Linked DNA regions of Arabidopsis thaliana. The protein of the gene in region 2 binds, or shares a complex with, the protein of the main gene of each other region. Each region holds a gene or a part of one and is shown on either strand. Other genes may lie near its edges.

The links. The genes of interacting proteins can lie anywhere in the genome.
Region 1: AT2G19730 (region 2) and AT3G58700 share a complex: the UniProt entries of both Arabidopsis thaliana proteins name them as parts of the large ribosomal subunit.

Annotation. Positions count from the first base shown.
Region 1 is NC_003074.8:21,709,842-21,713,650, reverse strand, and holds AT3G58700 (Ribosomal L5P family protein), read right to left. Parts: upstream 2,207-3,809; 5' UTR 1,991-2,206; coding exon 1,988-1,990; intron 1,899-1,987; coding exon 1,791-1,898; intron 1,697-1,790; coding exon 1,654-1,696; intron 1,334-1,653; coding exon 1,138-1,333; intron 1,034-1,137; coding exon 835-1,033; 3' UTR 547-834; downstream 1-546. Other genes in the region: AT3G58690 (Protein kinase superfamily protein), read right to left, coding at 2,405-2,686, 2,767-2,899, 2,997-3,255, 3,456-3,591, 3,707-3,809. UniProt on the Arabidopsis thaliana protein: Component of the ribosome, a large ribonucleoprotein complex responsible for the synthesis of proteins in the cell.
Region 2 is NC_003071.7:8,509,760-8,513,833, reverse strand, and holds AT2G19730 (Ribosomal L28e protein family), read right to left. Parts: upstream 2,349-4,074; 5' UTR 2,274-2,348; exon of another isoform or gene 2,243-2,273; intron 2,096-2,242; exon of another isoform or gene 2,092-2,095; 5' UTR 2,083-2,091; coding exon 1,935-2,082; intron 1,465-1,934; coding exon 1,301-1,464; intron 959-1,300; coding exon 839-958; 3' UTR 543-838; downstream 1-542. Other genes in the region: AT2G19740 (Ribosomal protein L31e family protein), read right to left, coding at 178-257; rps15ab (ribosomal protein S15A B), read left to right, coding at 2,576-2,705, 3,281-3,441, 3,513-3,611; AT2G19710 (Regulator of Vps4 activity in the MVB pathway protein), read right to left, coding at 4,017-4,074. UniProt on the Arabidopsis thaliana protein: Component of the large ribosomal subunit. Essential in leaf polarity establishment, probably having a role for translation in leaf dorsoventral patterning to specify leaf adaxial identity.

The DNA of each region.
Region 1 (3,809 bases), on a different chromosome or scaffold from region 2:
GGAAATGGCTTATAATAAATCTGTGTGGGATCAAGTCAAGATTCCTCCAGTCCTTTATTAAATTGTAAAATCATAAATAGATAAAACTATAAAAGCCTGTGTCATAATTATTAGTTTAATTACTCCATTATTGTCTCCAACTTCTTCTGTCAGAATGGAGCCAAAACTTGTATTTTCTGGTTGTATAGGTTTTCTGATTAGTTTATGTATGTAACGCGTGTTTACACACACAAAACGTATGTAATGTATATGTTTGATTTGGTCACTTCTGATCATGATAATTAATGTCGAACCAATCAATAATTCGCTCGAATCTGATGCAACTGAGAATTGACAATGAAACATGATTGGATAATGTTTTTGAAGTTGTTGTTATGTTAAATAATGTACAAGTACACAGGGTAATTATATAATTGACACGTCTTCTAAATATTAAACATATAGACGCATAGTCAAAGATTCGTTTAAAAATTTATGTAAAAATGCATTTTACCTCATGAAAAACTATAACGCAGTTATTAACTATAACACCAGAATGCGATTATAAGTCATAACACAAACGATTATTGTTGAACTAAGAGTGTTATTTTACAAAATTACGGTTTGGGGATGAGTTATGTAGATATAGAGAATGTTCATTACCTGTCGGAGTATCGAAAATTCGGAAATGTGTTTTAGACCTTTAGTCAGCTTTTGTCGGAGTAGTAGATACGCAAAATATATAAAGGAAAATCAAAATGTCTGAAGAACAGAGAAGCAAAACAAAACTGAGAAAATACGATTTGAACCCAAAAAAAACAAAACAGATGATAGCTATTTGTTTGACACATTTGTTTAACCAGTGATGTTCTGAGACTTGTTGAGAATGACTCCTTCATATTTCACCTGGAACCATTTCATGGCATCATCTTTCGTCACTCTATGCTGGATTCCAACACGAGTCTTGCATCTTCTGCGGCGCGCAACACGGTAACCTGGTCGCTCAAGAACAACATAGAAGTCCATGCCGTAGATTCCAGTCGATGGATCATACCTGAGATCAAATATATATTTAAAAACCCCGTACGTTTGATCACTGGTTACACAAAAGCCACTCTAAAGTTGTTCTATGTATGTGTTAGAAAGAATGAGACTTACTTGATACCCAAATCAATGTGCTCTTGAATACCAAAACCAAAGCAACCAGTGTCGCTGAAGTTCCTTCTCAAGAGTTCGTATTCTTTAACTTTCAATCCACTCTCAAGGAGCTGCATTGCCTTCTCTCCCCTGACAGTCACATAGCAAGCAATCTTCTCATTACGTCTTATACCAAAAGAACGAACAGTGTATCGAGCTGCAAAAGAGATAACAAGTGTTAAGATTTATGTCAAAACTCTCTTCATCCAAAACAAAGTTACAATCATCTTCCAAGCAATTGATACAAAACAATTGATAGAGCTACTGATTCTCACTACGATTATCTATGGATCCAGGCCAGTAACAATTAAAAATCATACACCAAAAAGTAAGAACTAATGACCTTCAAAAAAACTAACTCATCGTCCTAAACTTCAGAAGCATCGTGCCCCTGTTTTAGTCGAGATCACTAACTATCTCCAGCAAATTTTCTCAGAGATCGAACGATGAATTGATACAACTTAGAAAATAACTTACCCTTGGAGAAAACAGGAGTCTGACCACTCAATTGTTCCAACACCTACCAAGTTATCGAAGAACTAATTCCATTAAAATCGAGCATACACACAGGGTTGATATGAAAACCAGACAAAACAGATAAAAAAAAGTGAAACCTTGGAGGCTCTGGTGAGACGATCTCCACTCTCACCAACGGAGATGTTGAGAACCAGCTTCTGCACTTTAATGTCCCTCATTGGGTTCGATAGCTTCTTCTCCGACGCCTGAATTCAACCAAAATATATATCATCAAATCTCTATTTGAAACATCAAAAAACGTGAAACCAAAGAAGAGGAGTTAACTGCGACGGACCATTTCGGATTAGGGTTGCGATATATCTCCGGCCGACGGGAAAACACGAATCGGAAAGAAGAAACGGAGATGAAGCGGCAAACTATATAAACCCTAGTTCTAATTAGCCTTCTAGGGTTCTAAGCAAATTTTACGAGTACTCAAAATGACGATTGTACCCTCCTTTCTCCATCAAGCCCACGTTCCCTCACGTGACCTTTTTTCTCATGAACTAATATCATTCTCGTCTCTGTAGAATATAGTAATGGGTCAGGATTGGCCCAATAACTAGTAGCCCATAGAGATTCGAAAAAGTTTATTTGATGATTATCTCTATGACTCCATGTTTGATCACTCAAGTGTTTACATCATTGTCTGTTTTAGTAAATACCGTTACATAATAAAAGCCTCACATTTCGTCTTCTCTGATTGATTTATTCATTGAGAACCTATGCTTGCTTTACCCGGAGAGTTAGGAGACCGAGCCAAGCTAAAGCTACTAGAGCAGCCACTAAGCTTTGAAGCTGACCTACGGTTTCTCACTAATGGAACCAGTGACTGCACCACATCTGCCATTAAGGGTCTGTAGTCAGCTTCTGCTTGAACACACATTGCTGCTATTGCTGCAACTTGAACAACTTCTTTCGTAGAGTATTGTCCTTCGAGTGTTGGATCCATTATGTCTACTACTTTGTCTCTATCAGCCAATTGAGGCAAAGCCTGGAGATAGGAAAAGTTAAGTTATTAGAGCAAAGACAAGAAGAAATGACACAAGAGCAGTTTGTGAAAGGAACGCGTACCCAAGAGACAAGAACACCTTCTCCTGTAGCTCTCTTCATATCTACTGGAACTCTACCGGTTAGTAACTCTAACAGGACAACACCGTAGCTATAGACATCCGACTTTGTTGTCAAGTGACCAGTTAAAGCGTACCTGACATAAGATATTGAAAATATTGGTATTAGTATCCAACCTATCAAAGTTAACTGATGGAAACAAGAACAAAGAGATGATTGAGTGAAAAACATACTCAGGAGCTACATATCCTTGTGTGCCTAATACACGGGTAGAAACGTGTCCACCAGCTTTATCTGATCCGACTTTAGCCAATCCAAAATCTGAAACTTTGGCATTGAAGTTTCTGTCCAGCAGAATATTGCTGCTCTTAAAGTCTCTATGAATCACCGGGGGTGATACTTGTTCATGGAGATATTCCAAGCCTTTTGCAGCTTCCACAGCTATTCTCATCCTAGTTTCCCAATCTAATCTTGGTGGGACAGAACCAGACCCTAAATGCAAGAAAAAGAGATTTTTCTATCAAATCCAACAAGAATTCCAGACGTATATTCACCAATTCGTAATTATTATACACTATCTAGGATTCATGTTCAAATTGTTAGCATCTAGACAGATAGACTAAATTTGGAGTCTTCAGATGACAACTTCAAACATGCAGCAACTTCTAACTCTACTGGAAAAAGAAACTTACTGTTGGGAAGATACAGGTGTTCCTGCAGACCACCATTTGCCATGAACTCATACACAAGCAGCTTATGACTATTGTCTGAGCAATAACCAAGAAGTGCCAACAAGTATGGTGAACGCAGACGGCTCAGTAACTCAACCTGGCACCAGATACAAAAAATTGATCAATCAAGTAATCAAAAACGCTGCAAACAGCAAAATGTGCATAAGCTTTGAAAAAATAAAGATCAAAGAGTAAGCTAAAAATAATCAAACCTCCATCTTGAATTCTTCTTCCCCTTGCTTTCCTGCATGATCCATGAGCTTGATAGCAACTTTTCTGCCATCGTTAAGCACACCACGATAAACCAAGCCAAAC
Region 2 (4,074 bases):
ATTTTCAACAAAGATTCAAATATTCTAACTCTTTTCATTCATCAAGAAACCTAATTCGAATCAATACAAGTTGCAATTTTAGTCTAATCATTAGACTCTATGCCCAGAACGAACTTAAGCAAAACGGAAACGAGATATTGCAAATAAGGTCAAAAGTATTGAAGCTTTAGGTTTTACCAGCTATGGAGGCGCCTGTGGAGATTGATAGTGTACTCCCTGGTCACGACCTCTTCCTTTCTTCCCTTTCCTTTCTCCATTTTGCTTCGATCTCCCTGGTCTTCGAAATGGTGTTGGAGACGGCCACAGCAAGAGAACAGAATTAATTCATGTCTAAGAAACCCTAATATAAACCTTTCCGTATGCTATAAGTTGGGCCGTCTATGGGCCTGATGGGCTTTTGGATAAGTATAGAGCATGCTAAGATGGAATTCTCAAGTTGGTTTTTGATGGGATCTAATGAAAATGTCAACATTATAGTCCACAAGAACATCACATTTGATGCAACAAATCTAAACATTTATGTTTGCTATTTTGAGTCAATTTAGGCTTTCAAAAGTCATAATATATAAGGACTTGGTTGTTGATTACATTTGATTTGCTAATAAAATCTAGAATAGAGATTTTAAGAAAGTTCTTGATTCGATAAAAGGATCTAACAAAATGTAACACAAGCACACCAGAAACATCAAGCATAACAAGATAAACTTCTAACTCCTTTATAATAAGGATAATGAAAAAGGAGAATAGCATTATGGTTCAACTTCAAAGCAACAACTTAAATAAAACCTGTTCAACAAAATCTTTTACTTCAAAAAAAACAGATTGTGAAAGAAGAAGCTTAAGCTTGTCTGTTTCTTTGCTTGGCACCGGACTTGGCAACCCTGAGACCTTTGCTGATGGCGCTGAGTCTAGCAAGTGCAGCTTTCTTCAAGTCCGGCCTGTAGTAGTTGTCCACCACCTAAACATTTACACAATCATTTGGTTTAGATTGTATTCACGTATGAAACCAATAAACAGCAACATTAAGCAGATCAATGAAAATAGCCAAGTGTAAAATTAATATTTCATCAATATGCCACAAAAAGGAGCCTTATATGAAGTTAAATTTTAATCTTTGCACAGCTATGCATCATATCGTTTTACCATAACATATTAACTCTCCTCTCACAGGTAGAGGGAAGAACATAAAAACCAATTGTAGATCATAGCCGTGAAAATAACACACAAAACTAGATATAGAGACCTATAAGCACACCATAGACATATAAAAAACACTAAAGTAATAAAAATTGAGTAATACCTGGTTAGCAACAGCCTTTGACATCCTGGGGAATTCCTTCTTGAGGATAGACTTGTTGACAGAGAGCTTAGGCTTGTTCTGCTTCTTGGTCTTGGTGGTGGCGAGCACAACAGCTTGGTCCTTGTCAGCGGCCTGGATGGTCACAGTCTTTTTGTTTGCAAGACCTGAAACCACATCAAAAGATTCAAACTTTAGCCTAATTCAAGACAATAACAAAACCTAATACATAGTATGAAGTGTCTGCTCAACTCAGACTACCATTTTTGTCTTTAAATTAGAAGATACATACACAATTGTAATACAGATTCAAATGGTCAAATGTAAAGAAACTACATTTCACGGTCAACTTGCAACAGATAAGAAAATAAGCTTATACTCGAGAATCAATAAAATAGTGCATAAAGACGATCTCAAACAGCCAAGTTTCAACCACAATCATCTAATAGTCGAGAATCCACAATCTTTCATAGAACCAAAAGCACTTAACACATCAACATTTCTTAACAACTTTAGTTCCCAATCTATTCTACTAAATCAACCAACCAGAGATGTAAAGTAATCATTTGTTCTCAAATGGCCAAGATATCATTTCGTTCAGAAACAAAGAATCTCGTAAACAAGAGTACAAATTTACCAGAGTGCTTGTAAGAGTGAACGTTGGTGAGGTTGTTAGTCTCCTTGCTGAATTGAACCTTAGAGTTTCCTCTACCGAACTGCTTCACCAAGAAACAGTTGTTGTTCTTCACGATCTCCCAGATCAATTGTCCTGGAACTGTCGCCATTTCAAATACCTACCTTCACCACACCAAAAATGATACTACCAATCAACAACACATACATTAACAGATCGATTCCTAAAGGCTACTACTATAGAGCTCGCTGAATCAAAATATCTACACAAAATCAGATCATCTAAGCTACGAAAATCAAGACATACTGAACTGAGAACAATTGAGAGTAATACTAAGCTCACCGTGAAATTTCGCAGATAGAGATCGAGAGATTTTAATGGTGGCGCCGGAGCTTTGTTAGAAGACGAATGGAGCTATTTATATATGACCTCTGAAAAAAATAAAACCCTAGCTCATGTAAGTGAACGTGAAAAGTCTAAAATACCCCTAATGTTTTTCGAAATGTCGAAATACCCACAATTCTGAGAAACGTTGGAATAAACCCATTTCCTGCTGCTCTGTTGAACTTTAGGGGTTATCGATTCTTTTTGATTCGTTGTCATTCGATTATAGAATTTGTATTAGAAATCGGAATTTTCGATCAATGGGGAGGAGAATATTGAACGATGCATTGAGAACGATCGTGAATGCTGAGAAGCGAGGGAAAGCTTCGGTGGAGTTGAAACCTGTCTCTACCGTAATGTCTTCGTTTCTCAAAATCATGAAAGAGAAAGGTGAGATTTTTCACTTCTTCTTTCTTCTGGTCTAATTGGGTCTTAATTCATTTCCCTAATTTTTCATCTACTTGTTTAGATTTATCAGTTTCGTCGACATTGGTTTTAGTCACTTTTGCTTGTAGTGAAGTATGATTAATGATCCATAGTCTCTATTGTTTTGTTGGTCCTTGAGCTGATCCTAACACGTATAGCTCAAGAATTTCCATGTGTGATCACTCGATGTAAGAGATTGGTTACAACATGGTCCCAATGATTAAGCTTTGTTCTTGGTTAACTATGAAGTTGCAGAAGATTGAAAAGTTTCTGTTTTTTGATTCTTATGGATAAGTTACATCTTGATCTATGGTTGGAGAAAGTCATATCTGCTCCTGTTTAGTTTATGGTCTAACTTAAGTTTGTTTCGATCTTCGTCTGTGTTTTGTATGTTTTTAGTTAGGAATTTGAAGTAGTTCTTTTCAAAGTTGATAGTTTGTGACTGAAGTATAAAGATACCATTTCTATGCTCAAACCGCAGAATCAGCTAGTTTTTTGTCTATTACTTTACAAAATGTATGTTGATGTATTATGTATAGGGTACATCAAGAACTTCCAAGTCCATGATCCACACAGAGTTGGAAGAATAACTGTTGATCTACAAGGAAGGGTTAATGATTGCAAAGCTCTCACTTATAGGCAGGACGTTAAGGCAAATGAGATCGGGCAATACACAGAACGCACACTTCCAACGCGCCAGGTTCGGTTCTACACTAGTTCTGAATATGCAACTAATCGTAACTTAAACCTTCTTTAATTTGTTATATGCAGTGGGGTTATATAGTGATTACAACTCCCGATGGCATTTTGGATCATGAAGAAGCTATTAAACGGAATGTGGGTGGTCAGGTTCTTGGTTTCTTTCATTGAACTGCAATACGGAAAGAAACTCTGATGGAGGGACTTTGATATGTCAAACCCTGCCATAACATGTCATTTGTCTGGCTTTTTCGACATTGTTTGTTTGTTTGTTTGTTTTCTTGCACTGCAGTTTCAGCAAGATGGAGAATTAGAGAACAAAATTTATTTCTATTATGACAACATTTCGAATGGTATTATAAAATCTTTCTCTTCGCAAATAGTTATTTTCTATTCTGTTTATCCACACAAAAAAAAAAAAGACAAGGAAAACCAATCAAGACCAAGCAGAATCACACCACTACTTCAATCTGTATAACGTGTAAGAATATCAAATTCAGTCAGAGTAAAGAATGAGGGGAACTGTTTTCCGTGTGAAAGAATATATATATGAACAGAAGGACAAGATGAGCAGATTCAGCGTCGACTGGGAGCACGAAGCGCTCCGAGCCTTGCAAAGATATCGTCATATTCT